Macaca fascicularis: one gene and its partners. The protein of the gene in region 1 binds, or shares a complex with, the protein of each later gene. Links are inferred from orthologs where the notes say so. Each region holds a gene or a part of one and is shown in the gene's direction. Other genes may lie near its edges.

Evidence for each region.
Region 2: MEFV (region 1) and AIM2 share a complex: the UniProt entries of both Homo sapiens proteins name them as parts of the AIM2 PANoptosome complex. The link is inferred for Macaca fascicularis from reciprocal best matches to the Homo sapiens genes MEFV and AIM2.
Region 3: MEFV (region 1) and ZBP1 share a complex: the UniProt entries of both Homo sapiens proteins name them as parts of the AIM2 PANoptosome complex. The link is inferred for Macaca fascicularis from reciprocal best matches to the Homo sapiens genes MEFV and ZBP1.
Region 4: MEFV (region 1) and RIPK3 share a complex: the UniProt entries of both Homo sapiens proteins name them as parts of the AIM2 PANoptosome complex. The link is inferred for Macaca fascicularis from reciprocal best matches to the Homo sapiens genes MEFV and RIPK3.

The regions. Positions count from the first base shown.
Region 1 is NC_088394.1:4,045,379-4,053,468, reverse strand, and holds the start of MEFV (pyrin), read left to right. Parts: upstream 1-2,515; 5' UTR 2,516-2,575; coding exon 2,576-2,852; intron 2,853-4,352; coding exon 4,353-5,000; intron 5,001-8,090. UniProt on the Homo sapiens protein: Involved in the regulation of innate immunity and the inflammatory response in response to IFNG/IFN-gamma.
Region 2 is NC_088375.1:102,021,281-102,028,294, forward strand, and holds the end of AIM2 (interferon-inducible protein AIM2), read left to right. Parts: coding exon 1-336; intron 337-775; exon of another isoform or gene 776-1,085; intron 1,086-1,527; exon of another isoform or gene 1,528-1,684; intron 1,685-2,384; exon of another isoform or gene 2,385-2,655; intron 2,656-2,664; coding exon 2,665-2,853; intron 2,854-3,622; coding exon 3,623-3,649; 3' UTR 3,650-3,857; downstream 3,858-7,014. UniProt on the Homo sapiens protein: Sensor component of the AIM2 inflammasome, which mediates inflammasome activation in response to the presence of double-stranded DNA (dsDNA) in the cytosol, leading to subsequent pyroptosis.
Region 3 is NC_088384.1:113,678,039-113,685,608, reverse strand, and holds part of ZBP1 (Z-DNA-binding protein 1), read left to right. Parts: intron 1-1,258; exon of another isoform or gene 1,259-1,409; intron 1,410-1,578; exon of another isoform or gene 1,579-1,747; intron 1,748-2,090; exon of another isoform or gene 2,091-2,226; intron 2,227-2,552; exon of another isoform or gene 2,553-3,440; coding exon 3,441-3,665; intron 3,666-4,325; coding exon 4,326-4,394; intron 4,395-4,848; coding exon 4,849-5,022; intron 5,023-6,560; coding exon 6,561-6,728; intron 6,729-7,169; coding exon of another isoform or gene 7,170-7,219; exon of another isoform or gene 7,220-7,331; intron 7,332-7,570.
Region 4 is NC_088381.1:92,151,449-92,159,739, reverse strand, and holds RIPK3 (receptor-interacting serine/threonine-protein kinase 3), read left to right. Parts: upstream 1-3,247; 5' UTR 3,248-3,412; coding exon 3,413-3,432; intron 3,433-3,641; coding exon 3,642-3,782; intron 3,783-3,916; coding exon 3,917-4,226; intron 4,227-4,678; coding exon 4,679-4,824; intron 4,825-4,950; coding exon 4,951-4,997; exon of another isoform or gene 4,998-5,035; intron 5,036-5,204; coding exon 5,205-5,372; intron 5,373-5,482; coding exon 5,483-5,550; intron 5,551-5,765; coding exon 5,766-6,140; intron 6,141-6,280; coding exon 6,281-6,341; intron 6,342-6,855; coding exon 6,856-7,076; 3' UTR 7,077-7,226; downstream 7,227-8,291. Other genes in the region: ADCY4 (adenylate cyclase type 4), read left to right, coding at 7,813-8,259. UniProt on the Homo sapiens protein: Serine/threonine-protein kinase that activates necroptosis and apoptosis, two parallel forms of cell death. Necroptosis, a programmed cell death process in response to death-inducing TNF-alpha family members, is triggered by RIPK3 following activation by ZBP1.

The DNA.
Region 1 (8,090 bases):
CACTGCACAGTCCCATCCTTTCTCCATCTGGTAGTGGGAGACTGCCTGGGAGGTGCTGGGTTGCCACTGTCCAGAATCAGGGACAGGTGCTGGCCCCAGTGATACCCTAGTCAACACCCTTCTTCTGGCTCAGCCTAAAAATTCCAAAAATCTGTCGTCTGCACCATCAATGTGCATTTCACCCATGGTTTTTTTCTTTTCTTTTTTTTTTTTTTTTTTTTTTGAGATAGGGTGTCTTGCTCTGTCACCCAGGCTAGAGAGCAGTGCAATCACAGCTCATTGCAGTCTCAACCTAGGCTCAAGCAATCTTCCTGCCTCAGCCTCCTGAGTAGCAGGGACCACCAGTGTGTGCCACCACACCCAGCTAATATTTTTTCTATTTCTTGTAAAGGCAGGGTCTCCTTATGTTGCCCAGGCTAATGTCGAACTCCTGGGCTTAAGTAATCCTCCTGTCTCAGCCTCCCAAGGGCTGGGATTGCAGGTGTGAGCCACTACACCCAGCCCAATTCACCCACTTTTTAGAGAAGATGTTGGGCTCAGAAAGATCTAGTGAACTGCATGTTTGTTGTCAGCTATGAAAATAAAGCAAAAGCATCAAATACTCTGTGAAACAGAAAACAGGTGGACCAGCTGGATAGTAAGTAAAATTCAACCAATCAGAACTCATCAAAGCCTTGAACCCCTGGCTGGGCACACACAGAGGCACTCACACCCAGAGATGAGTGTTCAGCTAGGCATCACAATGTTGTGACTGACCTGTGGAAGTGACCCATCCTGGACCTCAGTGGTCAGCTGGAAATGTGACATCCATGGGTAGTCATGAATAATAAAAAGTAAAATCACAAATTATTGTCATGCAGGAGACGATGTTGTGAAGTGGTTTGATGTTTGGATCCTGGCTCTGGGCAAGTCACTAAGCTACAGATTCTTGGCTGCAGAGGAGGATGATAAATGCAGTCCTGCAGGGTACAGTCCTAGAGATTCTAGGAGGTAGTGTTTATAAAGCAAGTGGTGGCTGGTGCAGAGGAAGTGCTGGTGAAGGGTAAACTGCATTATTAACAAAACTTCTGGACGGGCACAGTGGCCAGATTACAGGGATTACACACCTGTAATCCCAGCACTTTGGGAGGCCAAAGCGAGTGGATCGCTTGAGCTCAGGAGTTCAAGACCAGCCTGTGCAACATAGTGAGACCCTGTCTCTATAAAAAAATACAAAAATTAGCCGGATGTGGTGGCATGCAGCTGTAGTCCGAGCGACTTGGGAGGCTGAGGTTGGAGGGTTGCTCAAGCCCAGGAGGCAGAAGTTGCATTGAGCCAAGATCCTGCCACTGCACTGCAGCCTGAGTGACTGAGCAAGACCCTATCTAAAAACAAAAAATTAAAAAATTAGGGTATGCAAGTAATTTTTTATTTTTTTGAGACAAAGTCCCGCTCTGTCGCCCAGGCTGGAGTACAATGGCACAATCTCGGCTCACTGCAACATCCGCCTCCCGCGTTTAAGCGATTCTCCTGCCTCAGCCTCCCGAGTAGCTGGGAATACAGGCGCGTGCCACCATGCCTGGCTAATTTTTGTATTTTTAGTAGAGATGGGGTTTTACTATGTTGGCCAGGCTGGTCTTGAACTCCCAACCTGAGGTGATCCACTCACCTTGGCCTCCCAAAGTGCTGGGATTACAGGCGTGAGCCACCACGTCCAGCCCCCGACATGTAACTTCTGTTAGCTTCAAAGCCACCTCTGGGGCCCTGCACCAGACTATGAGCTGAAGGACACCCGTGCCTTTTCACCCCTGTAGCTTCAGCATCCTGGCACACTGTCTAGAATGTTCAGTGAATGTGCACGGAAGGGCATTCTGGCTCCAGGGAGTGAGAACTGAGTCAGCTCTGGGAACAGATGAGTCAGGCTGGTGGTCGAGGCATTGCTTTTCAAGCCCTTCATGTGGCTGGAAGAACCAGACAACTGGAACTGGATCAACAGGGGTGATGGCGTGGCAAGAGTTACCCCCGGCAGTGCCCTTCTGGCCTCACTTGCCTTCTTGGGCCAGGAAAGGCAAAGCTCACGGGGCTGTATTTACTGCCCACCCCTTCCCCCATCCCATGCCATTGGCTCTGGAGGGTCTGTGAAACCCTGAGTCTGGAGGAGAACAGTTGACCAGCAGGGCTGGCCCTCAGCATAGTCCTCTCTGTTCCCATTCACCCGCTCTGCCAGCCCCAGATCCTGGCAGGAAGGGAGATTGGAGGGGTTGTCTGGAATCAATCCTAGACCTTCCCTTGCAGACTTGCCCACCTGTCTGTGGTCTAGTGTGGAGATGAGGTCCAGGGTTTGGGAGGGGTGTGGGGACAGATGTCTGCCAAGGCACTGAGCCCTCCCAGCTGGAAAATCCTCTGAACCTGTGAGAAGAGAACACAGCCAGCATGGACACACCCTTACCCTTAGTCTCAGTTCCCACCAAGACACAGAGCATTTCCTGTGCCTTTTCCGCTATTTCACAACCTACTTTTTCTTGCTCACCAAGGTAGAGGCTTCTTCTCCTGCCAGAAGCCAGACAGCTAGCTCCAGCGTCTCCTGCTCAGCGCCATGGCCAAGACCCCTAGTGACCATCTGCTGTCCACCCTGGAGGAGCTGGTGCCCTATGACTTTGAGAAGTTCAAGTTCAAGCTGCAGAACACCAGTGTGGAGAAGGAGCACTCCAGGATCCCCCGGAGCCAGATCCAGAGAGCCAGGCCAGTGAAGATGGCCAGTCTGCTGGTCACCTACTACGGGGAAGAGTACGCTGTGCGGCTAACCCTGCAGGTCCTGCGGGCCATCAACCAGCGCCTGCTGGCTGAGGAGCTCCACAGGGCAGCCGTTCAGGGTAAGCGGGCCCAGGCTGCCTCCTCACCCAGCACTGAGGCCTGGTTGCTTTGTGGGAAAAGGGACCAGGAGCTCAGAGCAGCTCACTCTGACTTGGGGGTCGGGAGTCTCAGGTCTACCAAGATCCAGGTGACTTTAGTTCAGGAACGTCCCTTCCTTCACTCTGGCTTTTGGCACTGGGTTAGTAAACTTCCTTAAGGCTCCCAGTGGGTTTTAAAGAAGCAGGTCAGGGTCAGGAAAGGCAGGAGCTGGAGCACCTATTCTTTGAGACTTCTTCACTTCATTTATGATTAATACTCATGTCAGACAAACATCTCTAGGTTAGCAAAAAGGGATTGCTATGCAATCGTATGAACGGGGCTGGTATAGAATCTTTTCAGTGCTGTTCACCATGTTGGCCAGGCTGGTGTCAAACTCCCGACCTCAAGTGATCCTCCTGCCTCAGCCTCCCAAAGTGCTGGGATTTCAGGCATGGACCACCGTGCCTGGTTTATTTTTATTTTTGAAATGTATAATCTGGGTTTTGCTGACCTGTGTAAGATCTTATTTGAAACAGTTGTCCTGCTTACAACGTTTGAAAAGTACTATTTGAGGAATACATGGTGGCTCACACTTATAATCTCAGCACTCTGGGAGGCTAAAGTGGGTAGATTGCTAGAGCTCAGGAGTTCGAGACCAGCCTGGCCAACATGGTGAAACCCTGTCTCTACCAAAAATACAAAAAAAAGAGCCAGGTGTGGTGGCACACATCTGTATTCTCAGCTATTGAAAAAACAGAAAACAGGCTGATGTGAGAGGATCGCTTGAGCCTGGGAGGCAGAGGTTGCAGTGAGCCGAGATCACATCAGGGCCACAAAACAAGATCCGGTCTCAAAAAATAAAATAAGAGAGAGATAAATATGTAGCAACATCAAGCATGTTCTTACTGAATGGTAATTGACTGCCATTGTCTAGGAAGTCCTGAACTTTTGTTTTTGAAATGGAGTCTCGCTTTGTCACTCAGGCTGGAGAGCAGTGGCGCAATCTCAGCTCACTGCAACCTCCACATCCCAGGCTCAAGCGATTCTCATGCCTCAGCCTCCAGAGTAGCTGGGACTACAGGTGCACACCACCACGTCTGGCTAAATTTCGTGTTTTTAGTAGGAACGTGGTTTTGCCATGTTGGCCAGGCTGGTCTCGAACTCCTGACCTCAAATGATCCTCCCAACTTGGCCTCCCGAGAAGCTAGGATTACAGGCATATGCCACCACGCTCAGCTTATTTTTGTATTTTTAGTAGAGACAGGGTTTCACCCTGCTGGTCTTGAACTCCTGACCTCAGGTGATCCTCCCGCCTCAACCTCCCAGAGTGCTGGGAATACAGGTATGAGCCACCGTGCCCGGCCCGTTTTTTCCTCCATTTCTAAAGTTTAATATCCATGGGGATTCTCTCTCCTCTCCCCTGAATCTTGGGCCCTAAACGTGGGACAGCTTCATGACTTTGTAGCTGGTTGTCTTTCCAGAATATTCCACACAAGAAAATGGCACAGACGATTCCGCAGCGTCCAGCTCCCTGGAGGAGAACAAGCCCGGGAGCCTGAAGACTCCAGACCACCCCGAGGGGAAGGAGGGAAAGGAGGGGAACGGCCCTCGGTCGTGCGGGGACTGGGCTGCCAGCCTGCGGTACAGCCAGCCCGAGGCCGGGAGGGGGCTGTCAAGGAAGCCCTTGAGCAAACGCAGAGAGAAGGCCTCGGAGAGCCTGGACGTGCAGGGCAAGCCTCGAACCCGGAGCCCGGCCCTGCCGGGCGGGAGAAGCCCCGGCCCCAGCCCCTGCAGGGCGCCAGAGCCAGGCCAGGCCGAGGTCCTCCTGCGCAGGAACGCCAGCTCCGCGGGGAGGCTGCAGGGGCTGGCGGGGGGCGCGCCGGGGCGGAAGGAGTGCAGGCTCTTCGAAGTGTACCTGCCCTCGGGAAAGAAGCGGCCTAAAAGCCTTGAGTTCACCATTTCCACAGGGGAGAAGGCGCCCCCAAATCCAGAAACTCTCCTGACTGTAGAGGAAACGACAGCTGCGAATCCGGACTCGGCAACAGGCGCTCAGGCAAGGCCCACTCCGGATGGAGGGGCGTCTGCGGACCTGGAGAAAGGCCCTGGGAATCCAGAACATTCGGTCACCGGTAAATTGTGTTTTTTCCTACTTTATATCGGCTGCAAAGAAAGAACAGCTGGCCGGGCACGATAGCTCATGCCTGTAATCCCGGCACTTTGGGAGGCCAGGGCTGGAGGATTGCTGAGGCCAAGAGTTTGAGACCAGTCTGGTGAACATAGTGAGACCCCCGCCATGTCTATAAATAAAATTAAAAAAATAAAAACCCAAAGGTTGGACAGGGCGCCATAGCTCACGCCTGTAATCCCAGAGCTTTGAGAGGCCTGAACGGGAGGATCTCTTGACCCCAGGAGTTCCATACTAGCCTAGGCAACACAGTGAGACCCCATCTCTACAAAAAATACAATAGTAGCACTTGCCTGTAGTCCCAGCTGCTCGGGCTCACTTGAGCAGGGGGAGTTCCAGGCTACAGTGAGCTGAGATCATGCCAGTACACTCCAGCCTGAGCAACGTAGCAAGATTCCACTTCTACAAAACTAAAAAAAAAAATTAGCTGGGTGTGGTGGCACATGCCTGTAATTCTAGCTACTCGAGAAGCTGAGGCAGGATGATTGCTTGAGCCAGGGAGTTCCAGGCCTCAGTGAGCTGAGGTTGTGCCACTGCACTCCAGCCTGGGCAACACAGCAAGACCCCGTCTCTTAAACATTTTGGGGGGGTAAAAAAAGAAAGAAAGAACGTCCAATTGAAAAAGGCAGTCAGGTTTTATTCAGTGGCCAAAGAATAGAGAAGGGGAGCTCGCCTCTGCAGGCATCTGCTTGCCAGGGATGGGAGGCAGGGGGATTTTAGAGTCCCAGGAGGGGAAGGGAGGTAGGTAAGCAGGTCCAGGGCAGGGTTCCATACATGAAGGCGCTGTCCCCAGCGTGCTTTTTCCTACATCGCATGGACATGAAACCCTGGCCATCTTCTTTTAGGGGAGGGGCCTTTAGCCTTATAATGATGTGTAAATGATCTAAAGGTAACTGGAAGTTACCTGTTCCAGTTTGCACTGGTTTTGCTCTGAACTTCCTCTGGTTTTTGGCAAGGGATCAGGCAGCTCCAGGCCATCTGGATTTTTTAAAGCAGCTGTCCCTATAGGTAAAGAGACCAGAGAAAAACTGTAAAAGAAAAATGCCATCAGTTTAGAGGGGATTGAGGTTGTCCAGGTGACAATTCCATGCTTGTGGTGGGGGCAGCATTCAGAAACACACCTTCTTTTTTTTTTTTTTTTTTTTTTTGACACAGAGTCTCAGTCTGTCTCCCATGCTGGAGTGCAGTAATGTGATCACAGCTTACTGCACCCTCAACCTCCTGGGCTCAAGCGATCCTCCCACCTCAGCCTTCCGAGTAGCTGGGACTATAGGTGCTCATCACCACACTGGTTTTGTTTTTTTGTTTTTGTTTTTGTTTTTTTTTTTTGTACAAAGGAGGACTCGCTATGTTGCCCAGGCTGGTTTTGAACTCCTGGGCTCAAGCAATCCACCTGCCTTAGCCTCTAAAAGTGATAGGTGTGAGCCACTTCACCCAGCCTATGGAACACACTTTCTAATACATTGTTCGCTGGAGAGGAGAAATCACAGCATTCAAAGAGGAAAAATAGAACTGGGGGTCCAGGCCGGATGTGGTGGCTCATGCCTGTAATCCTAGCACTTTGGGAGGCCAATGGGGGCAGATCACCTGAGGTCAGGAGTTCAAGACTAGCCTGCCAACATGCTGAAACCCCATCTCTACTAAAAATTCTAAAATTTCCGGGCGTGGGGGCAGGTGTCTGTAATCCCAGCTACTCAGGAGGCTGAGGCAGGAGAATTGCTTGAACCCAGGAGGCAGAGATTGCAGTGAGCCGAGATCACGCCATTGCACTCCAACCTGGGCAACAAAAGCAAAACTCTGTCTAAAAAAAAAAAAAAAAAAAGATCTGGGGGTCCAGGGACCCCTGAGACCTGGGAGGGAACAGGACGTGGTATACTGCATAAGTCTTCAAATCCAGAAGTCCCTGGGTCTTCTGGTGAGAAAGGACCCTGGGATCTGGAAAACCTAGCATCCTTAGGAATAGTGACCTGAAAAGTACTAAAGTACTTCCCCCCTAATTTTCTTTTATCCCCACTGTATTTTTTTAAATTTTTATTATATATATATTTTTTTAGATATGGGGTCTCGCTATGTTGCCCAGACTGGTCTCGAACTCCTGATCTCAAACAATCCTCCCATCTTTGCCTCCCAAACTGCTGGGATTACAGGTGTGAGCCACTGCACCGGATCCCCACTGTATTTATATAATTGGGATTCCTGGGTGCCTCCTGGGGCCACTTTGTTAATCTGGTGCAGGCTTAGACCCTGAAAAATGCATATATGCACAGCTTCACAAATGTCACATCAAATTTCAGGTAGTTCTTGGACACTCTGAAGTCCATCTTTAGAATCCAAGGGGTTTGTGGACACCAGGTAGAAAATCTGGGGAAGACTGGTTAAAAATACTGCCTCTCACAATAACCTCACAGCAATGTGTCATAATGGGGTTGAGATTCTACCATTTGCCTTTCTCTGAGCAGAAAGGAAAGCCTATTGGCTAAAGTCCTAATTATCTACTGCTGAGGTAGTCATTAAAATTGTTGGGTTGTGAATAATAGAAACACCCAAATAACAGTAACCTGAACAGAAAAGAAGTTTGTGCCTCCTTCACATAAATGATACACAGGCAGTCCCAGGCAGATCCGTGGGCCAGGATCCTGGGGTCCTGCTGTTGCTCTGCTCCACCAAGTTTGTCCTCAAGCTCGTGCTCTCAGAAGGTGACGTCCTCATGCCAGGCAGCAAGATGGAGGAACAGAGGGGAATAGTATCCCTTAGGGAAGGCTCTAGAAATTTCTAGAAGCTGCTTGTGACCCCCCCCCCCTCCATTTACATCCCTTTGGCCATATTATGGTCAAATAGCCACACCTAACTGCAAAGGAGGCTGAGAAATGCAGGGTATTTGGGGGGGCAATGGGAAGAAAGGAAGCAGTCCTGTGGACAATTAATTCTATCAGGAGAGAAGGAGGAAGAATAATTTCTGGTGGCTACTAGCAGTCTCATTTACAGATGTGCTATGAATTTCTGGGACACTGTGAGGTAAGGAGGGAGGAGGGGC
Region 2 (7,014 bases), on another chromosome or scaffold:
GCAACAAAGCCCTTCACGTTTGAGACCCAAGAAGGCAAGCAAGAGATGTTTCATGCTACGGTGGCTACAGAGAAGGAATTCTTCTTTGTAAAAGTTTTTAATACACTGCTGAAAGATAAATTCATTCCAAAGAGAATGATTATAATATCAAGATATTATCAGCACAGTGGTTTCTTAGAGGTAAATAGCGCCTCATGTGTGTTAGATGCTAAATCTGACCAAAAGGTTGATGTCCCGCTGAACATTATCAGAAAAGCTGGTGAAACCCCAAAGATCAACACGCTTCAAACTCAGCCCCTTGGAACAATTGTGAATGGGTTGTTTGTAGTCCAGAAGGTAAGTTTTCATAGCTAATTTCATATTGATTAGTAAGAATAACGTATTTTCCATCTGATCTTAAAGAGACTTTAGAAAAGGTGTTAATGTCTATACAGACAAAATAAAAAAATACAAAGTTCTAAAGAGCTGCAGAGTTAACATGCCAAAATTCATACGAAAACTCAAAAATTGTTTTTATTGTCAAAAATGTCACAATCCTGTTTCAACTTATTCTTATCCCAGTAGCCTCTGAAAAAGGAATTAGTTCGTTCACATAGTTTTTATTTCTGCGTTATTTTTGTACTTTGTCCATATTATCTTTATTTTAAGTGACTATTGTTGTGATTGCAAAATAAGTGTAGTTGAGTAATCAACCAAATTAATTGACCTGAAAAACCAATATGCAAGTCAGGATTAAAGAACTGTGATTAAATGAAGAAAACAGAAGAAAGAGTTAGCTTGAGGAGACTTATTTATTTCTTTCTTTTTAATTAAAAGTAAACTTTAATGTCGAAAATGCAAACTTGGGGAAGACAGAAAAGATCACATACAAGGCTATCACTTCACACTTGGAAGGTTGCACAGCGGCTGGCGCTCCTCTCTTTCCAGACGGTGGGGCGGCCGGGCAGAGGCCCTCCTCACTTCCCAGACGGTGGGGCGGCCGGGCAGAGGCCCTCCTCACTTCCCAGACGGTGGGGCGGCCGGGCAGAGGCCCTCTTCACTTCTCAGACGGTGGGGTGGCCGGGCAGAGGCACTCCTCGAGGAGACTTATTAGAAGTGAGAAATAATAAAGTATTATGACTCTGAGCTTCAGGGAACTAGCCTTGTGGAATGACTTTTTCTGGTCTAGGGCAGGACCTGAAGAACCGTAGAGAGGGAACCTGCTGCCCCTGCATTCAGAGCCTCAGAATAACCTCTGCTGCCTTGGGTTAGTTTTAGAAGGAATTGATAGGAAGACTCTCCAGTCCTCTTGGAAAACTCAAGTGTAAAATGACCTTGGATAGGAAGGTCATGTTCTTTGTCCCAGTTTTCAGCTTTTAATCTGGCCACTAACATATATTGATTTAGTCCACAAAATTAAAGCTAAAATACAATCAATCTCCGAAATAACTGACCAACCTCCTATTTCCTTTTGATCTAGACTTGATTGTGCATTATTTCTTGTCTTTGATTACTTACTAGACTCTCAGCTGGATCTTGCATCATTACCTCATGTCTCTCCTGGACTTGTTGTTTTAAATAGCTGTCTTCAGGCTGGGCACGGCAGCTCATGCCTATAATCCTAGCACTTTGGGAAGCCAAGGCAGGTGGATCGCCAGAGTTGAGGAGTTCCAGATCATCCTGGCCAATGTGGCAAAACCTGTCTCTAGTAAAAATACAAAAATTAGCCGGGTGTATTGGTAGGGACCTATATATAATCCCAGCTACTCTGGAGGCTGAGGCAGGAGAATGGCTTGAACCCAGTGAGGTGGAGGTTGCAGTGAGCCAAGATTGCACCATCGCACTCCAGCCTGGGTGAAGGAGCGAAACTCTGTTTCAAAAAAAAAAAAAAAAAAAATAGCTCTCTTCCAACCCCAGGGTCTTCTTTTTTCCCCTGACTAATCTGGCTACTGGCCCTGGAGAAGCTCCATCCTCTCTATCCAGCAGTTGTTGCTTCTATGGGCCACCCTGGCCTCCTCCTAAAGGAAGGGAGTTTGGGACTGGAAAGATGGGCATAGGAGACAGCATATTCTAAGTAAGACATGTCTGCCTCCTCTGTGTGAATTTGCTAACATCTATTAGATATATACCTGCTAGTTTCAAAGCAGAAACTTTTTCTTCAAGTTGACTCTTGAACAATGTAGGGATTAGGGCTGCTGACCCCGAGCAGTCGAAAATCTGCATATAATTTTTGATTCCCCCAAAACTTAACTACTTAATAGCCTACTCTTGACCAGAAGCCTTACAGACAATATAAACAGTCACTTAACACATTTTTGTGTTATACATGTTATATACTATATTCTTAAAAAGTGAGGTAGAGAAAAATGTTATTAAGAAAATCGCAAAAAAGAAAATATACTGACTATTCATTAAGTGGCAGTAGATCATCAAAGTTCTTCATCACTGTCTTCACGTTAAGTAGACTGAGGAGGAAGGAGGAAGAGGAGGGTTGCTCTTGCCGTCTTGGGGTGGCAGAGACAGAGGAAAATTCCCATGTAAATGGACCTGCACAGGTAAAATCTGTGTTGTTCAAGAATTAACTGTATTTCTTTTTAGAGCCTTCTTCTGGCATGTCTGATGTGTGACTGATGCGGCATTCCTTAATCAGATTATCAGAGGCTGGATGTTGATTTTCTTTTACAGGTAACAGAAAAGAAGAAAAATGTATTATTTGACCTAAGTGACAAGACTGGGGAAATGGAAGTATTGGCGGTTAGAAACGAGGACACCATGCAATGTAAGGAAGGAGATAAGGTTCGACTTACATTCTTCACACTGTCAAAAAATGGAGAAAAACCACAGCTGACATCTGGAGTTCATAGCACCATAAAGGTGGGAACTGCATGGAGCAAAGTCAACTCTCCAAGGGGGTGATATGTTTTGCTTTCTGTCAGGAAGCTGGACTGGAGCCATTGAACAGGATATGGAATGGAAGACATTGATATTTAATACACGTCCATCTCCCAGAACTGAGAAACCTCCCTCTTAGGAAACACGTATTCTAGATACACAGTTAAGAGAACATGGGCTTTCCAAGGCAGAGGCGCATACTGTTATGCACACAGAGCCCAAGAAAGAGCTCCTCAGTAACACTACAAGTCTAAAGCAGAAAGCTTGCCCAGAGTTGGAAAAGTCATTCTGAGTAATGTCTTTGAAAGTAGACACACAATAGATACTTTGAGGACACATTTCCCTAGCCAGTCCCACCACGCCTGCACCTACCATAGTCCAGGGCACTTGAGTCCATGTAAACCCCTACTCTTGACCTTCCACCACACCCTCCTACCCATCTCCTGCCACTAGTTGGTGCTCTTCCCCAAGTCTCAGTGTCGGTTGTACTACCTGCTGTCTCTGTAGGAGTGGAGGCCAAGACTTGAGAAATATGCATATATGACCTTGCTAAGTTGGAGTGTATTTCTCAGGTCAGATATTCACTTTGGGAGTATGATCCAAGACAAACCAATGTATTAGAAGGGTGGGAACAAAATAATTTTATCAGAAGGTGATATACACTTTAGAAGGCCATAGTGACTGCAAACAGAGGAGGGGCCACTTATTGACCGCATCTCAGACTGCATGTTTTTTTTTTTTCTCCATCCAGGTTATTAAGGCCAGTAAAAAAACATAGAGAAATAAAAAGGACCAATTCAAGCCAACTGGTCTAAGCAGCATTTAATTGAAGAATACGTGATACATCTTCTTCAATCAGATTGTAAGTTACCTGAGAGCAGCAGTTCACAGGCTCCTCTCTCCACCAAATTAGGATAGGATAATTGCTGGATAAACAAATTCAGAATATCAACAGATGATCACAATAAACATCTGTTTCTCATTCATTACAGTATCTCATTTAGTTTGTCAATCCCTTGTCTCAAGCAAAAATACTTTATCAATGTATTATATGTTTATACAAATGTAAAAGTAAACTACATGACAACAATTGCACAAAATACAAGAGGGAAGAATTAGGAGTATACTGTTAGAAGATCCTGTACAACATGTGAAGCAGTGCAGTATTATTTGAAAGTAGATACTGCATAATTAAAAATGTATATTTTGTCCCATAGGGCAATGATTTAGAAATATTTTAAAAGGTATATAAATAATAAGACAATTTGTGTTATTGGAGAAAGAATAAGCATAAAGCCTAACGGAAAACTAGAGAGCCAAAACTAGGCTTGTAAATTTACAGTCTATTGATTTTCTACAAAAGTACAAACACAGTTCAATGGAGAAAAGACTAAAATAAAGTACAAGAACAATTAGATACCTGTACTTAAAAAAACAAATCTGAGCCATTCCTCACTCTTTATACAAAAATAAAGTCCAAATGGATCATTGGCTTTTCATAAACATCCAAAACCATAAAACTTCTAGAAGACATGGGAGAAAATCTGTGTGATCTTGGTCTAGGGAAAGATTAAAGATTTTTTAGATATCACACCAGAAGCACAATCTACATAACATAAATGCTTAATAATTTGAACTTCATCAAAATGAAGAACTTCTGTTCTTCAAAAGGTACCATTAAGAGCATTGAAAGGCAAACCATAGATTGTGGCTTAATATTTGTTAGTCACATAGCTGCTGAAGACCCTGTATCCAGGCCAGGCACAGTGGCTCACGCCTGTAATCCCAGCACTTTGGGAGGCCGAGGTGTGTGGATCACCCGAGGTCAGGAGTTTGAGATCAGCCTGGCCAACATGGTGAAACCTTGTCTCTACTAAAATCCAAAAAAAAAAAAAAAATAGCTAGGCGTGGTGGTGGGCATCTGTAATTGCAGCTACTCGGGAGGCTGAAGCAGGAGAATCACTTGAACCCGGGAGGCAGAGGTTGCAGTGAGCTGAGATCACACCACTGGACTCCAGCTTGGGTGACAGAGTAAGACTGTCTCAAAAAACTAAAAGATCCTGTATCCAGAATTTATAAAGAACACTCAAAATTCAATAATTGCAAAACAACCAATTAAATGTTTAAAATGGGCACATAAAAATACACTCAACATAATTCATCTTTAAGGAAATGGAAACTAAAACTACAGTGAGATACCATTATACATTTATTAGAACAGCTAAAATTAAAATAGATTACCCATACCAAGTGCTGACAAAGATTTGGAAAAACTGAAACTGTCGTGCACTGCTGGTGGAAATGTCAAATGGTATAACCTTTATGCAAAAGAGTTTGTCCATTTTTACAAACTTAATACGTATCCACAATGCTAAGGTCTGAGGAGGATACAGAGCCGTTGAAACTCTTACTTATTGCTGGTGGGAATGAAAAGTCTTACAGTCACTTTAGAAAAGAGTTTGGAAATTTCTTATAAATTTAAACATACACTTACCACATGACACAGCAAACCTGCTCTAAGTTTTTTTATCCGCTTGAAATAATTATGTATGTTCACACAAAAATCTGCATGTAAATATTCATGAAAGTTTATTTGTAATTATGCAAAAATGTAAAAAACTCAATTATCCCTCACCTGAAAATTGAATAAGCAAACTTTTGTAGATCCATATAATTGAATTGTACTCAGCAATAAAAAGGAGTAACTACTGACACACACATCTACATGGATAGATCTTTACTCTAAGTGAAAGAAGCCAGACTCAAAAGTTTACATTTTTAATTTCATTTTATGATATTCCGTAAAGGGCAAAAGTATAGTAAAGACTAGATCAGTGGTTTCTAGGAGCTTGGAGTTGAGAGGAAGGCTGGCAACAAAGCAGCAGGAAGGAAATTTTTGTCATGATGAAACTATTCTCTATCTTAACTTTTGTGGTAGTTTCATGACTACATGCATTTGTAAAAATTCACAGAAATTTCCATTAATAAGAGTAAGTATGGTTGTTTGTAGATTATGCCATGATAAACATGGAAAACATGCATCAAGTTGGAAGATAGAATTATGGATGTTTTTGATATTCTGTTGTTTTTTTTATTTCTCTGGAAGAAATACCTATTGCTTTTAAAATAAATAAGAAAGATGACACTTTTTAAAGAGACCCACAGAAATCAGGGACTTTAAAACAATGAATATTCCTTATCCATTAGGTTAATAATGTCCAGGATTTGTGAATGTGATGATGATATGATTAAGGAAAATGTCCTCAGAAGTGTTAATTGAAATATTAGTTTGGCAACATTATTAGTAATTATGCTCATATTATTTGACCCAGTAATTCCACATACAGGTATTTAACCTAAAATGTCAGCTTTAGCGCTATTGCATACCTTAAAACCACTTGGTACAAACTAGTCTGTAAAATGTTTATGAGGACAGATTAACATCTCTATGAGTTGTTCTGTCCTCTCTGGTCTATACACTACAGATCTAGGGGAAGCTCCAGCTTCTCATCTACTTGATTTGAGTCCCATGGAGAAGCTCTGGTATGTGGTAAGGTGGAAAAATATGACACAGTGCAGTCAAGGCATCAGAGGATGAAGCTATTTAAGTGAAAACAAAATTGAAGAGGCAAATTATTTTGGGCAGAGAGTAATGTTTTTCTTATTTCATTTAAACATAGATTGTCCTTAGAAAGTAGTTTGAAGGGGAATCAGCATGGTGTTAAGGAAAGCAAGCAAAGGCTGGGATGTAGTAGCCCTCTTAAATGACACTAACTCCAAATCACCATCATCCACATACTCAAGAATAGGCAATTACAGAAAGCTTACATCAAGTGATATGCATATGAAATATTAGACTAGCTGAGAATACAAACATCATCTGTGTATAAAGCAGTCCTTTTCTTAGTGTTCATTAAGTCAAATTTGAATTTAGAGGCAGTTTTAGCAGTCTATGACATCTTAGGATGATGTCTGTTCCTTACTAGCTGAGTGATACTGTGATTTTCACCACTTCACTCAATCTCTCTGAACTTCAGTATTCTCACTGTAGGTGAGAAAACTGACTTCTGTAGCATCTGAAGTTTCTTCAGAATCTGGTTTCCCAAAATGAGCAAAATAATCTTAAACACATATACACACACA
Region 3 (7,570 bases), on another chromosome or scaffold:
GAGGTTGTAGTGAGCTGAGATGGCGCCATTGCACTCCAGCCTGGGTGATAAGAGTAAGACTTCGTCTCAAGAAAAAAAAAAAGAAAAGTAGAAAGCTGTCGTTCGACAGCTGACTATGCCCTGGGCACCTCAAAACAAGCTTCGCAAGCATTTCTCAATGGCCTGCAGGGACAAGTGCCATGTCATTCCCATTTTATAGATAACTGAGGCCCTGAGAGGTGAAATGACACTCTCGGGGTAGCACAGCTGGTGAGCACTGGTGCTAGCGTTTGAACACCCATGTCACAGTCATATCGAGAACAAAGCAGTTTGCTTTGATGAGGTACATGTATGCCCTTGTTCCTTGTTGTTGCATTCTTTCCTCAACTAACATTTCATTCATTTTATTCCTGGAAGAGCTGCAATGAAAGCCAATAGTGTATCAAGCAATTGCTGTTCTCTAGGGTCTCCACGAAGCGCTGTGGACTGTAGGTGAAGTGTGGTTTTGCAGTTTGGGGGATGGGTTTGTTTTGTTTTTAATCCTCACCGCAATCTTTGAAGTAGTTATTATTGTCTCCATTTCACAGAAGGGGAACCTGAAGCCGGGGGGAGGTCACATAGCTAGTAGTTGTCAGGGCTAGGAGCTCAAACCCAGGAAATCAGCCATCAAAATTTTAAAAAACCAACCCAGACTGTGCCCCTGGTGGGCTAATGTCAGGGTGTGGCCAGGAGCCGCGCTGGCCACCGAGTTCCTGTGGTGCTTCCTCTTCGGGGACTCACAGGTGCTGACAGAGGTTCCGGACTCAGCCCTCGCTGGCTTTCCTTGTCTTCCTCCCCAGTTGATTTTCCTTTTGTGACCAAATTGCTGCCTACACCTGCTCCATTTTACAATTTTCCATTTTCAGACATAGGAGCCTGGGACTTAGCGGTCGAGTCTAGCCCAGCACCCGGGCTTGTCCTGCATCCACACCTCTGACCCCCATCTCCTCTTGGATCTGTGGAGCAGAGGTGGTGGCTCCCTAGGGTCAGCCTTCCAGAATCAAAACTCTGCAGCCGGGCACAGTGGCTCACGCCTGTAATCCCAGCATTTTGGGGGGCCAAGTTGGGGGGATCACCTAAGGTCAGGAGTTCGACACCAGCCTGGCCAACAAAGGGAAACCCTGTCTCTACTAAAAATACAAAAATTAGCCGGGTGTAGTGGTGCGTGCCTGTCATCCCAGCTACTTGAGAGGCTGAGGCAGGAGAATTGCTTGAACCCGGTGCGTGTCTGTAATCCCAGCTACTTAAGAGGCTGAGGCAGGAGAACTGCTTGAACCCAGGAGGTGGAGGTTGTGGTGAGCCGAGATCGCGCCACTGCAGCTGCAGACTGGGCAACAAGAGTGAATCTCTGTCTCAACAACAAAAAACTCCGAGAGACAAGGCGAAGCCAGGTGTGAAGTCAGGTGCACGGGGATGCTGCTGGCTGCCGGTGGGGGAGTTTGGTAGGCGCAGGAGTGGGAATTCCCAGGTCTTCTCATTTCTCTTCACCTGCACACGGTAGCCTGTCAGCATTGTAGCCATCAGGGCGAGGCACAAACTGATTTTTCCCTCCCCTACAAGTGCTGCGACCGAAGATCCCTGGGCAACCCTAGAGAATCCTCTGAACAGGAAGAAAGCCCAGATGACAAGGACTGAGTCACTGTCCTGGAAGGGGAACTCGGGTCTTTCCCAGAAGAGCTCTCCCACGCACTGCCCTCGGGTTCCTTGAAGCAGAACCTTCTGGTGACAGGTGGGCCCCCCCCCCACCGTGGCTCTCCCAGGCTGCTGGCTGCAGGTGCTGCCTGTACCCTGTGTCTGCCCCAGCCTCATCTCTGGGCAGTGGCTGGCTTTGATTTTTTAATCATTGTTTGAGCTAATGGTTTTGATTTTTAAGAGCTGCCTCAGGAGGAGCAGGGGCCATTTGGAGAATTCCTCCTTGAATCTCTTGGGGTCCTGCTTAGGGCTCATTAAACTCAGGCCAGGAAACAGCAGCACCTGCCAACTGGCCAAGGAGGAGCTGCCTGGGTCTACTGAGTAAATGTCTGTCCCTAGAGACAGACACTCACTTACTCAGTCCTTTTTTTTTTTTCCAGAGATGGGGTCTTGCTCTGTTGCCCAGGCTGGAGTACAGCGGTGCATTCATAGCTCACTGCAGCTGCAACCTCCTAGACTCAAGCGATCCTCCCATTTCAGCCTCTTGAGCATCTGGAACTACAGGCACGTGCCATCATACCTACCTGATTTTTTTTCTGTTTTTGTAGAGATGGGGGTCTCACTATGTTGCCCAGGCTGGTCTAGAACTCTTGGCCTCTAGGGGTCCTCCAATCTCAGCCTCCTGACATGCTAGGATTACAAGTGTGAGCCACCACTCCTGGTCCCATTCATTCATTCATTCATTCACTCAGTCACTCATACATTCAACTGCCATTTCCTGAGCACGTCCTGTGTGCCCAGCACTGTGCTACATGCTGACGGTACAACAGTGAGCCACGCAAGTACAGCAGGGGACACGAGGGGACCCACACACAAGCAGATCCCAGCCACTCTGGAACACAGGGACAGGCTTCCCCAAGGAAGTGGCATGTGAGGAGGCTGGAGGTTGAGTAGACATCATACAGGTTGGGATGTGGGGGAAGGGTGTTCCTGGCAGCCGGAACAGTGTGTGCAAAGGGGCTGGGGTGAGTGGGGCTAAAGGGAGCACAAACAGGCCAGCACTTGGAGGGAAGTTGGGAGCAGGTGCAGGTCAAGCTGGGTGGTCGGCAGAGCCAGATCTGGAGGGTACCCGACTGGAGCTGGTGGGCCAACCGGGAGCCTATTGCTGCACCCAGGAGATGGTGGTGAGGAAGCGGGTGGTGCCGGCAGAAGAGAGGAGTGGGGCAATTCCAGAAAATCCAAGAATGGCATTTCCAGGGCTCCACGACTGGGCACTGGGGGAAAGGTCTGTTTCTGATGTCTGGTCGGTTTCTGGCTTCGATGGATAGTGGCACCATGGAAGGATGGTGAGCTGAGAAGAGGCGATTGATTCCCAGGGAGGATGGCAATGGGCATCAGGTACACCCAGGCAGGACTTGCCTTTGTGCTCCCAGGTCCCCCTGCCTCCCTCTGGCTCCGTCCTTCTGCCCTCTACTCCTCTCTGCCCTGAGGACACCTGAGAGCTGAGGAACCCCACTGCCCCCTGGCACCCACACCCGGGGAGGGCACAGGCGAGGCGGCACCTCCTCTGGCTGCCAGGCCATTTCTGATCAGCCTGCATGCCTCTCTCTGGGCAGGGGCAGCTGCTCTGCTGCTCTTAGGGGGTATCTGCTGGGGTCTTTGCCCTCTCCTCTGCCCTGGACACCTCTCAAAAAGGGGCCTCACGTGCCTCTTGGAGCCTCCAGCCTGGGCTCATCTGTGGGGACCCGGGAGACTCAGTCCCTATCTCTGTCCCCCGCTCACTCCCCCAGGCCACCTTGAACAGAGGATCCTGCAGGTGCTGACAGAGGCTGGCTCCCCAGTGAAGCTTGCCCAGCTGGTGAAGGAATGCCAAGCACCCAAGAGGGAGCTCAACCAAGTCCTCTACCGAATGCTAAAGGAGCTGAAAGTCTCCCTCACAGCCCCCGCCACCTGGCGCTTGGGCGGGACTGGTCCTGGAGGCGAGGGTCCTGCAGAGCTGGCCCTGTCCAGCCCTGGTAACTGCCACCCTGGGGAGGTGGGTCTGACCAGGCAGGGACCATCCTGGCAATGGACAAGCATAGATTTGAGCCTGGGTTCGAATCTGAGTTCTGCCACTTGGGAGCTCACGGGTTTCATCTCTGTGCCTTGGTTTCTTTTTCTGGTTGATGGAGCTGACAGCAGGGCTGCTTGGTAGGGGTTGCTGAGAGAAGGCCTTGCATCAGGCTCAGCCCAGCCCTGCACACAGAAAGTACTCAGCGGAACACTAACAATTATAACAGAAAATCATCATGATGGAAACAGCAATGACATGATGGTCCTAATCACAGAACACACTCAGTCCCACCAGCCCCCCTTTTCTAGCTTTACAGCCCACAGCCAGAAAGAGCTGCCATTTGTCATGCACTTAAGATTAGCTGGGCACTGTTTCAGGGTTCACCCAGCCCTCACACAACCCCAGGAGGCAAAGGAGGTTGAGCCCCGGAGAAGTAAACCAGCAGGAAGCCGCAGCTGCCAGGGCACAGGCAGGACTTGATGTCAAGTGTGTTTAACTCTGGAGTCTGAGTTTGCAACTACCGGCGTTGCAGCTCACCCTAGGGTGCTGCCCACCTTTGTGGGGTGGAGCCCTGGTGCTGTTTTCTGTCCCCCACCCCTCTGACCCGTCTTTCTTTCTCCAGCCGAGAGGCCCCAGCAATGTGTAGCTACAGTTCCAGAGACCCCTAGCCCTCAGTTCAGCCAACAGCGGGGTAAGTCATTGCATGCCCCTTCAGCTCCCGGGACACAGGATCCCACTCCTCAGGAACCCCAGGCCCTCCTTGAGGGTACGAGATCTCACCAGTGTTCAGGGGCCCTGTCCCACCCACCAGGTGGCTCCCAAACAGTGTTCAGAGCCAAGACCCAGCCCTGACAGCGGGAGAATCTGAATGTCGAGCAGTGATTTCTCCAGTCAGACAATAGCTGACCCTCACCATGCACCCACCATGTGCCAGGCCCAGGGCAGAGCACTGCGTGCACATCCCCCATCCTCAGGGCACCTCTGCGGTGCGTCATCATGACCCCGTTATCGTGGTGCCCATTTTACAGATGAGGAAACCAGGCCTCGAGGGGCTGGGTCCAGGGCCACACAGCTAGAAAGCGGTGGGTGAGGCAGATGCAAATTCTAGGACTCCTCTCTAACCACGTGGCCGTCCTGCCTCCCAGAGGAAGACATCTACAGGTTTCTCAAAGACAATGGTCCCCAGAGGGCCCTGGTCATCGCCCAGGCACTGGGAATGAGGACAGCAAAAGATGTGAACCCAGACTTGTACAGGATGAAGAGCAGGCACCTTCTGGACGTGGATGAGCAGTCCAAAGTGTGGACGATTTACCGCCCAGGTAGGCCCCCAGCTGCCTGCACCTGGGCTGCAGAGGGAAACCATGACACTAGCGCTTGGTCTTTGCTGGGTGCTCTGCTGAGAAGCTCACCAGAAACTGCCAGAAGCTTCTGGAGGTCCCACTGACAGTTCACTGCAAGGGCTTCCAGGAGGAAGGGGTGTGCTGGCAGGATTAACCAGGAACAGCTTCCTGGAGTCGTGGCCCAAGGGCTGCAGTTGCAGAAGGCCAGCGAATGGGATGGAGGTGGCCCATTCCCAATGTTCTCAGCTCTGAGGTGCAGGTATCAGTCTGGGTTTGGGAATAGTTTTCTTTGAGCACTTTGCCCAAGTTGGGGTTTTAAAGTTGGCAGAAGAGAAGGCAAGACTAGGCTCAGACCCCTACTGGGTGGAGCCCCAGGGTCGTCTTCCCTGTGAGATCTAATAGGCGCAGGGCCAAGATCCAACAGGCCCATGGCACTCTTAGGGGTCCTTGAAAATGTTTTAATTTTAATTTCATTTAAAATCAGAAGAAATGAATACTATAATAATAATGAATATCTAAAAATGGACCAGGCGTGGTCGCTCATGCCGGTAATCCTAGCACTTTGGGAGGCTGAGGCAGGCGGATCACCTGAGGTCAGCCTGGCCAACATGGCAACCCCCTGTCTCTACTAAAAATACAAAAATTAGCCAGGCCTGGTGGCCGGCGCCTGTAATCCCAGCTACTCGGGAGGCTGAGGTAGGAGAATAGCTTGAACCTGGGAGGCAGAGGTTGCAGTGAGCTGAGATCACACCACTGCACTCCAGCCTGGGCAACAAAAGTGAAACTCTGTCTCAAAAGAAAATTAAATTAAATTAAATTTAATTTAAAAATCCGGCCTGGGTTATCCTTGACATACAATGTAATTTAAATATTTGTGTATGGGGGAAGGGCCCACAAAGGCACAGGAGCCGAGACCCCAGAGGGTGGTGATGGGCCCCACACAGTCTGGGCAGGTGCCTGCCTCGACCGCCATAGGGCGACTCTGCTACTCACGATGGGTGTCCGAGGGGGTCTCAGCATCCTAGGGCTGCTATAAGGAAGGAATAATGCATGACAGTCACCAGATTTTAAACACGAGTGACAAATTCAAATATCTAAAATGTCATGGGTGCGAAGCACAACTGATCTGTCCAATGGGCTGCTGTCTCTCGGCCACTACTCAAGGGAGAAGGGCAATGGTGCAGGTGCTCGGGGGTCCGGGCTGTGGCTGCCCCCCAGGGAGAGCAGTGTGGGGCCCCTGCAGTCCTCCCAGCCAGCAATCATGGCGGCCCAGCCATGGGGGCAGCAAAGGACACAGGTAGGGTGACTCACAGGGCTATTTTCAAGCGAGGCTCCCTCTGAGGTACCTGGGGTGTCTGTTAAACACTCAGCTCTGGCCTCCCACTTGGCCCTACTGACTCGGAACGCCCAGGGTATTTTAACAAGCTCCCCAGGAGAATTTGGTGCTGCCCACTGGTATTGGGAACCCCTGACCCATAGAGAGGGGCGAAGGGATAGAGTTGAATATTATTTTGCAGAAGGTTCTGGAAGAAGAGCAGAGTCGGCCTCAATTATTTACCAGCACAATCCAATCAACATGATCTGCCAGAATGGACCGAATGGCCGGATTTCCATTGCAAACTCCGAAGCCATCCAGATTGGACACGGGAACATCATTACAAGACACACAGCCTCCAGGGAGGATGGTGAGTTACCCGAGAGAGCCCGGGGAGGGGACCTCGGTGGGAGGCCACCTGATCCACTGGGTGGGGGCAAAGGGTAGGGATGGGGAATGGGGGAATTCAGCCCTCCAAGGGGAAAGGGTTGCTTCCAGATCCCCACAGTCCACCTTTGTGGCCGTCCTGAGAATGAGGACGCCCGGATCAAAGCTCTCCTGATTTCCCTGTATTCTGATACCTTCTACGTCATTTTAAAATTTAATTTTATTTTTATTTTTTAATAAAATTTTAAAATTAAGATGGGGTAGCTCTGTGTTGCACCTGACCTTGTGCCTCATTTTCAATGGGGTCCGGTGTTTTTCATGAGAAACGACTCAATTTCCTCTCCCTCCGGGGAATGCCACAGGGGAGGTGATCATAGCACAGTATTTGTTCTGAGACACGCAACTTTCCCCCACATTTTAACAGGCTGGAAACTGGGGTGCATCTCACCACCTGTGCCATCCTGGTTTGGATGAAATGCGGTGTTGCACTTTGAGCCCTTACCCTGTGCTGGGCACTGTGGCAAGAGGGAACAGAGCCACCTGTCAGCCCAGCCTTGTCACCTGTGAGTGACAGCTTCAGCCCCAAAGTCGGGACACTCCCTGTAACCTTGGGAGAACCTTTCCCCTCTGTCAGCCTCAGTTTCCCCAATTGTGAAACTAGGAACTTTGTTCTAGAATCTAGATCATAGTTTCCCCAGCTTTAATCCTCTGAGCCCCACATTCCCGATTCTGGCCATACTCATGTCTGATTATTTAATTAATGTTGAGTAGTGCACATTTTTAAAATTTTATTTTAAAACAATTTTATAGTATTATTTTAAATGA
Region 4 (8,291 bases), on another chromosome or scaffold:
GAAAAGAAAAATTAGTGAGCCACTGTCTCTCATTTCTAAGGGTCTGACATGATGTTAATTAGTTTCATGGTTAAACTTACTGGGAAATTGCTGTTTCTTCCTGTGTCTCATGCGTTCATTCTGGGATAATTTTTTTTTTAATCTTCTTTGTGCACATCCATTAGAAACTTCTTTAGGAAAGTGACTGTTCGTAGTAAACTCAGTTTTCATTTATTTGAAAATGTCTTTTTTTCTTTTTTTACCTGTCTGTAAATATAAAATTGTATACACACCAAAGTTATCTTTTTCAGGAACACTTTTCCTGTCTTTGAGCACCTTAAATTATTTCAACGTCTTCTGGTTTTTACTTGGCTGTTGAGAAGTGTATTTCCAGTTTAGTTACTGCTGCTTTGTAGATGATCTATGCTTTCTTTTTAACCTTTAATGTTGTTTATTTGTGTTCACTGTTCTGCAGTTTCACTGAGGTATAACTAGAGTGAATTTCTTTATATTTATCCTTTTTGGCACAACTATATTTGTGTATATTTGACTTTTTATATTTGCTCATTTATTTATTTAGAAACAGGGTCTTGCTCTGTTGCCCAGACTGGAGTGCAATGGTGCAATCATAACTTACCATAACCTCCAACTCCTGAGCTCAAGCTCTAACCCTAACCCTAACCCTAACCCTAACCCTAACCCTAACCCTAACCCAGCTCAGCCTCCCAAGTAGCTAAGATTACCAGAACTGGCAACCTTTTATTTTAATTTTTATGTTGTAGAGATGGGGTCTCACTATGTTGCTCAAGCTGGTCTTGAACTCCTGTCCTCCAGTTATCCTCCCACCGTGGCCTCCCAAAGCACTGGAATTACAGGTGTCAGCCACTGTGCCCAGATGGATCCTTGTCTTTCATCAGTTATTGAAAATTGTCAGTCATTTTTTCCTTAAATATTGCCTTGCCCCATTTTTAATTTTTCGCTTCTCTTCTCATGGGATTCCAATTTAACATGTTAGACCTACTCATTCTTTGTCTCTTAACTTTTCTATTTGCTCATCTTTGCTGCATTCTGGAGAATGTCTGCAGATTCATCTTTCAGTACACTAATTCGTTCTTCAGCTATATCTTCTGTTTAACCAAAATCTACAATTTCAATTTTAATGGTTACATACATTTTTCATTTCTTGATGTTTTATTTTTTGTAAATATATCTGGACATTGTTTATGATCTCTAATGCCTTGCTCTTTTATTTCTCTACTCTATTTTTTATTTCTTTAAACATTTTACAATAGCTTCTTTAGTTTCTTTATCTGATTATTCCAAACTCTGAGTTTCCAAATTCCAAGAATCAACCTGTGCCTAGGTCCACCCCCACACCCCCTTGCTGGAAGCTGAGGGTCCTGTTAGGCACTTACTCTAAGGTTCTTCTCCCTGCTCTTCCTTCTTTTAAAGGGGCTGTTTATTTTGAGTCAAAAAGTTGTATAGGCCCTGATACCACACCCAACTTTGTGCTTCACAGTAGTTTATCCCTGATTCTCAGGGTCTCATACCAATCTGAAGAAACCCGGTTATAACACCTTTCCAACTCCTTTTTGCCTGCTTCCTTCAAGTGGAGATACTGAGCCTGGGTTATTCTCTCCAAAAAGAATCACAAAGGGAGTGGCTACCCCTTTTGATGGTTCTCAGCTTCTGACTCTAGGCTTTTCTGAGGACCTGCTACACTTCTTGCCTTCTTGGATTCTGTGTGATACCACCATATCTCTATACTAAAGCCTACTTCAGACGGATTTCATGAACTGTGCAGGTGAGAGCCCTCAGTCCCTATAGGAACCCGATCTCCTCTTTCCTCCTACTGAGTATGGAGCTCCATCTAGGATGATCAGTGCCTTAAAAGAGGCTTAATATTTTTGGTTGTTCATTTATTCATTCAATTCAACAAATATTTATTGGGTATCTGCCATGTATTGGCTTTTAAAGAGACTACAGTTGAACAATTCCCTAAATAGCTCCAAAATAGCATGAGCTGACCCTACCAGAAGCCATGGTGTAGCTCTCCAGGAGTTGTTCTAGAAAAAACTGCTGATCACTTCTGCCTCAACCAGAAGAGCCCATGGACCGCTGAACAAAATGGAAAGCAAGTACCAAGGTGAGCCCCTTTTAGTGAAAGCCAACACACAACCCACAGGGTTGAGTATCCCTGTGAAGGACTGAGTGCCTAGGGCTGGCCCTATCGGGTTCCCACAACCTCCAGTCATGGTCAGACCTCCAAAAGGTAAAATATGGACACCTTTTTTCTGCCCTAAATCTTTAAGACTCTCCATGCTTCTGGGTTATCAAAAGCCTGTGTCCAGAGCATGTGCTTGTCAGGAACATTAATTAGGGTATTTGCATGCAAGAATTGTCATGCAAGAGAGAGGGCAGGAAAGCTCTGAATTGTTTCCACTGCAGTGTACACCACAATGTCACCAACTCGCTGGATGGGCTGGTATATCTAGCCTTACCACAATGCCCTTGGAGTGGGTTTGGGGTCTGCCAGCTCAAGGAGCTCCTGTTCATAGGGCATATAAGTCCCTATGAACATATAAGTCCCAAGGAATACAAATAGGGATCCTTCACTACATCGTTGGATGCTTCACAACTTTCCCAGCCTCCTGCAGGACCAGCTGAGTGGTCCTGCAACCTATGTGAAAACAGGTGAAACCTATGTGAAAACAGCCCTGAAACCTATGATGTGAAAACAGGATAACTTGATGGTTCAGAGCCATTATTTCCATATGGGCTTAGGCAAGGTACTTAAACTCTCAGTGTCTCAGTTTCCTCATCTATAGAAAGGTAATAAAAGCAGTACCTATCCCCTTAGGGTTCGTGTGAGAATTAAATAAGCTAATCTATGTACCTGGTGCATGATAAGTTTTATATATGCATTGGCTATGATCTTAGGGCAGCTATGAGAGAGCTGAGCCCTAAAACCATAAAACCTGCCTAAGCACCATCTCCACTCATGGCCTGGCAGGTGGTGGAGCAGGAAATCCTGTGGGAAAAGAGAAGGCTTTGACTGTAGGAGTGGGTTGATTGTGGGTTCCTGGAAGGTGAGGACCCATTCCCTAACATCCTCAATGCCCAGCCACACCTAACCTGGCCGCTGCATGCGGCAGGCACTCAGGAAACGCTAGTCAGGGAGAAAGACACTAGCTTTCGCTTTGCCCCCTGCCCCACCCCAGGGGCGGGACTGTAGAGGCGCCTGTAAGGGAAGTTGTTCAGTCAACTCAGAATACGGGTAGCAACCCGGAAAGTGGAGTCACCGTCCTGGTCTAGAGACTGATCCCTGCAGAGACAGATCCCTTCCCCTCTCTGCCAAAGACCGCAGCCCCAGAAGTCATTCCATCTCCTACTGCTCGCAATTTCCAGAGGCCCCCTCGCACCTTCCAGCCTGATGTCGTGCGTCAAGTTATGGTGAGTAGGGAGAGGCATGTCGATCGCAGCCTCCGACATTCACACCCAGAGCGCCCCACGGACTCGCTCAGAGAACGCCTTTGAGTCTGGAGACGGTGGGGGCCGGCGAGAGAGGCCGGGGATTGCAGTAAGAGCGCCGAGTCACAGGGGCGCGGGGAGCAGCGCTGGCGTAGGGCACTGCCGGCTAGTGGGCGACACCCCTGTCTCAGGCCCAGTGGTGCCTCCGCCTCCTTGGTGTCCATCGAGGAACTGGAAAACCAGGAGTTCGTCGGCAGAGGCGGGTTCGGCACAGTGTTCCGGGCGCGATATAGGAAGTGGGGCTACGACGTGGCGGTCAAGATTGTAAACTCGTGAGTGACCCCTGTTGCCCCCCCGGCCGCAATCTGGCCAAAAAGGTGGAGCCACTGTGCTCTGGGGCCTGAATGGGGAATGGAGGGATTTTTCCCACGACCCCGGGTGACTCCAGCTCTCTCCTGGAGTGTAGGAAGGCGATATCCAGGGAGGTCAAGGCCATGGCAAGTCTGGATAACGAATTCGTGCTGCGCCTAGAAGGGGTCATCGAGAAGGTGAACTGGGACCACGTGCCCAAGCCGGCTCTGGTGACTAAATTCATGGAGAACGGCTCCCTGTCCCGGCTGCTGCAGCCCGAGTGCCCTAGGCCCTGGCCGCTGCTTTGCCGCCTGCTGAAAGAAGTGGTGCTTGGGATGTTTTACCTGCACAACCAGAACCCGGTGCTCCTGCACCGGGACCTCAAGCCATCCAATGTCCTGCTGGACCCAGAGCTGCACGTCAAGGTCAGCTGCTCTACACCCCTCTCAGCCTCAGGACAAGGTCCCACCCCAGAGCAGCTCCAGCCAGGCCCACTGGACACCAGACCTCCAGAGCCCTGTCTATTGAATAGGCGTAGCCTCTCCCTCTGGACACAGGGCTGCCAGGGCACAAAGCCCAGCCAGGAGTTTTAGCTCCTGCCATACCAGGTGATAGAGGCCCCGACCCACACGAGTCCTTTCCACCAGCTGCCCCACCAACCCCTCCAAAGAGTCATGGCTGACCCAGCCCTGGAGACTCACACCTTGACCCAGCCCTACCACAGGCACCTAGATCTACTATCCAAGGGAGCCTCTTCCCTTGACCTCCACACTCCCTTTACAAAGCTGAACCTGAACCTTCTGGGGGCAAGGGGGTTTCTGGAGGCTGCCTGGCCCCCTTGTCTTCCCTACCTCCCACTTCTTTCCTTCCTTTGCAGCTGGCAGATTTTGGCCTGTCCACATTTCAGGGAGGCTCACAGTCAGGGACAGCATCCAGGGAGCCAGGGGGCACCCTGGGCTACTTGGCCCCAGAACTGTTTGTTAATGTAAACCGGAAGGCCTCCACAGCCAGTGATGTCTACAGGTAAGGATCCCAGCCCAAACACACAGCCGGGATTCCTACACTTCTCTGGGCCCTCCCAGGGGGTGATGTATAGGAAAGGAGTCTTGCCAGTGATTGGACTGGTCCTCAGCTTTGTGTCTCCTGCAGCTTCGGGATCCTAATGTGGGCAGTGCTTGCTGGAAGAGAAGCTGAGTGTAAGACTCTAGGCGGATTCTGGGATCCTTAACCCCAGGTGCCCTTCTCTTGAAAGCCCCAAAGCTTCCCCTTCCTGCTCACCTACTAAGACTGCCCTCCTCCATCCTTGTGCTCCCACATTACACTCCCTGCCTCTTTCCATGATGGAGCAGATATTCCCTTTTACCCTGAATGCCTTCTCTTCTCACCCTCCTCCCCTACTCCAGTGCCAACAGAAGCATCACTGGTGTGTGGAGCAGTGTGCAGGAGGCAGACCCGGCCCTCATTGACTGAGCTGCCCCAAGCTGGGCCTGAGACTCCCGGCTTAGAAGGACTGAAGGAGCTAATGCAGCTCTGCTGGAGCAGTGAGCCCAAGGACAGACCCTCCTTCCAGGGTGAGCTGGCCAATTAGCTGGATCTGGGGTAAGCTTGGGTCTGTCAGCATGGGGCTTTCCTCAGGAAAAGAAGATTTGCTCACCTGCAACCCACTCTGCTGTCCCTCTAGAATGCCTACCAAAAACTGATGAAGCCTTCCAGATGGTGGAGAACAATATAAATGCTGCTGTCTCCACAGTGAGCGCCAACATCACCCCTCTCCAGGAGCTGGTCAGGGATGGCACAACATGGCTACCTGGCCATCCAATGACTCACCATTAACCACAGCTTTTTTATGCCTTGACCTTTGTCCTCACCCTCCCCAGCCCACCCCTGAGTTCCAAGAGACTACTCCCTTGGGTTTACTCTGGCTCATCCAAGTCATACCCAGCAAACTCCTCCCATCCCTGCAGGTAAAGAATTTCCTATCTGAGCTCAGGAGCAGCAATCCGAGATTTTCTACCCCCGAGTCAGGCCAAGGAGGGACAGAAATGGATGGCTTTAGGAGAACCACAGGAAACCAACACTCTCGTAATGATGTCATGGTTTCTGAGCTGCTAAACAAACTGAATCTAGAGGGGTCTCCCAGCTCTGTTCCTGAAAAATACCCGAGCCTTACCAAGAGGAGCAGGGCACAAGAGGAGCAGGTTCTGCAAGCCAGGACAGCAGGGACATCTTCAGATTCAGTGGCCCAACCTCCCCAGACTCCAGAGACCTCAACTTTCAGAAACCAGATGCCCAGCCCCACATCAACTGGAACACCAAGTCCTGGACCCCAGGGGAATCAGGTGAGACATTGGCAGGATTAGGGGATGCACTAAGAGTCCTATAAATGCTGTCCCCTTGCCAGGCAAAACTTGGGGCTGAGAGGAGTGCACTGGGCGGTCCAGGCTCCAGGACAGAACTGGATGCTCTGTGATGTTTGCAGGGCGCTGAGAGACATGGCATGAACTGGTCCTCCAGGACCCCGGAGCCAAATCCAGTAACAGGTACCCACTCTCCACCTCTTTCTTTTCCCTGTTCAATTCTTCCATGAGACTCCTCCTCCAGATCTATATCTAGATTCAGGGTACTTTCTGGAGGCGAGGGGAGAAGATCATCTAACTCAACCTCATTTCATAAATGGGAAAACTGACACCCCCTGAGAAAGGAGCCCTCTGAGGTCACACAACGAAGCTTGGATTTTTCCCTGAGTTTTCTAACTTTCCACAGCATCAGCTCTGTGAGCCCCCTAAGTTCCATTGTTTCAGCAGTCCAGAGGACTTCCCAGCAAAAAAGATCAGGGTCTCAAATGTCAATTGCTACTCTCTAGAGCTTCTGCTAAGCCAGTTCTGGAGAGGAACTCTGAAGGGAAGGGCACAGGACACACCTTAACACAGTCATTTGGGCGACCACTCCACTCAAGGCCAAGCTGGGGGTGGAGACCTCATACTCCCCACCCACCCCCAACTTGGCCTTTCTGACAGCTAAACCCTCCTGCCACCATCACTATTTCTCTTAAAGGGCGACCACTCATTAACTTACACAACTGTTCTGGGGTGCAAGTTGGAGACAACAACTATTTGACTATGCAACAGACAACTGCCTTGCCCACAGGGGGCCTGGCACCTTCGGGCACGGGGAGGGGCTGGCAGCACCCCCCACCAATAGGTTCGCAAGAAGGCCCTGAAGAACCTGAAAACTGGAGCGGGCCACATGGTTGGTATAATCATAGTGGAAAATAAAGCACCTTCAGAGCTTGCCTCCAAGAGTTACGAGTTAAGGAAGAGCGCCACCCCTTGAGGCCCCTGACTTCCTTCTAGGGCAGTCTGGCCTGCCCACAAACTGACTTTGTGATCTGTCCCCCAGGAGTCAATAAACATGATGGAATGCTAGCCAAAGTCTGAGCTCAGCCAGGGGCCGGGAGGGACTGGGATGGGGGTGGGAGCTGCCAGTGAGGGATAGGGAGGCACCACAACTCTGCTATGGCAGGAAGCGGGGATGCTGGGGGCTGGGAGTGGGCAACGGCCTGGCACACAAGGTCAGGGCACAGCCGGCTACAACAGGAAGGAATCCCAGAGGCCTGGTTCCCCAGACCACTCTAATCTCAGGGCAGTGCTTCCTTTAAAGCCTAGGATGGCGACCCCACCCTAACCCTAAACTCTGGGGATAGAGGCTGTGGTCCCTTTTCTTCTGGGCTCTCAACTCAGTTGCAGCGCTCTGGGAAGGGATGAGTGGGTGTGAAAGATCACAGACCAGGCCCCCCACGGTGCCCTCAGGTTCTTAGAGATCATGAGGTCCCATACCTGCCTCCACCACACACTCAGGTTGCTTCCTAGACATTGCTTCCCTTTTGATTCCCAGCTGCTCTTCGGGAGTGGAAAGCTATGGCTCCTAAAGCTATACACACGCGCACCCCCTCCCACGGAACAGTTCAAACCTGGTAGTAGTGGTTGCCAGCCAGGCGGAGAGACGAGGAGAATGAGCGCCCCCCGCTCTGACCTAGATCCCCACCAGGACTCACATTCTTCCCTACATTCTCGCCAGGCTTCAGCCCCCCGCCCTCAGTCTCCCCACTACCAAACGTTCACCCCCATTTGGCCACACCCTATTCGGTCCACCCCAGCCACCCCTTCGCATCTCTCCCAGGGTCCACATTGCCCTTCCCTGAAGGGGCTGAGGCGGGAAGGCGATGGTGTTAAGAGAGACAAAACCAAGTGCGGGAGGAGACCAGGGGAGTCCGGCTTCGGCACAGGAAGGGGCCGGGCTGTCCCGTCGGGGAAGTGGGAGGGGGGCCGCGGCGCCTGGAGGGAAGCTCCTGTCGCCCGGGACTCTGAGCCAGAGCGCAGCGGCGAGCGTGACTCCGCCATCAGGTCCCCGGCTGCCTCCCTGGGCCTAGCCCACTCCGCTGCGCCAGCGACGCGGGCAGTGAGTTCGGGGGACAGGGGAACCCAGGGCTC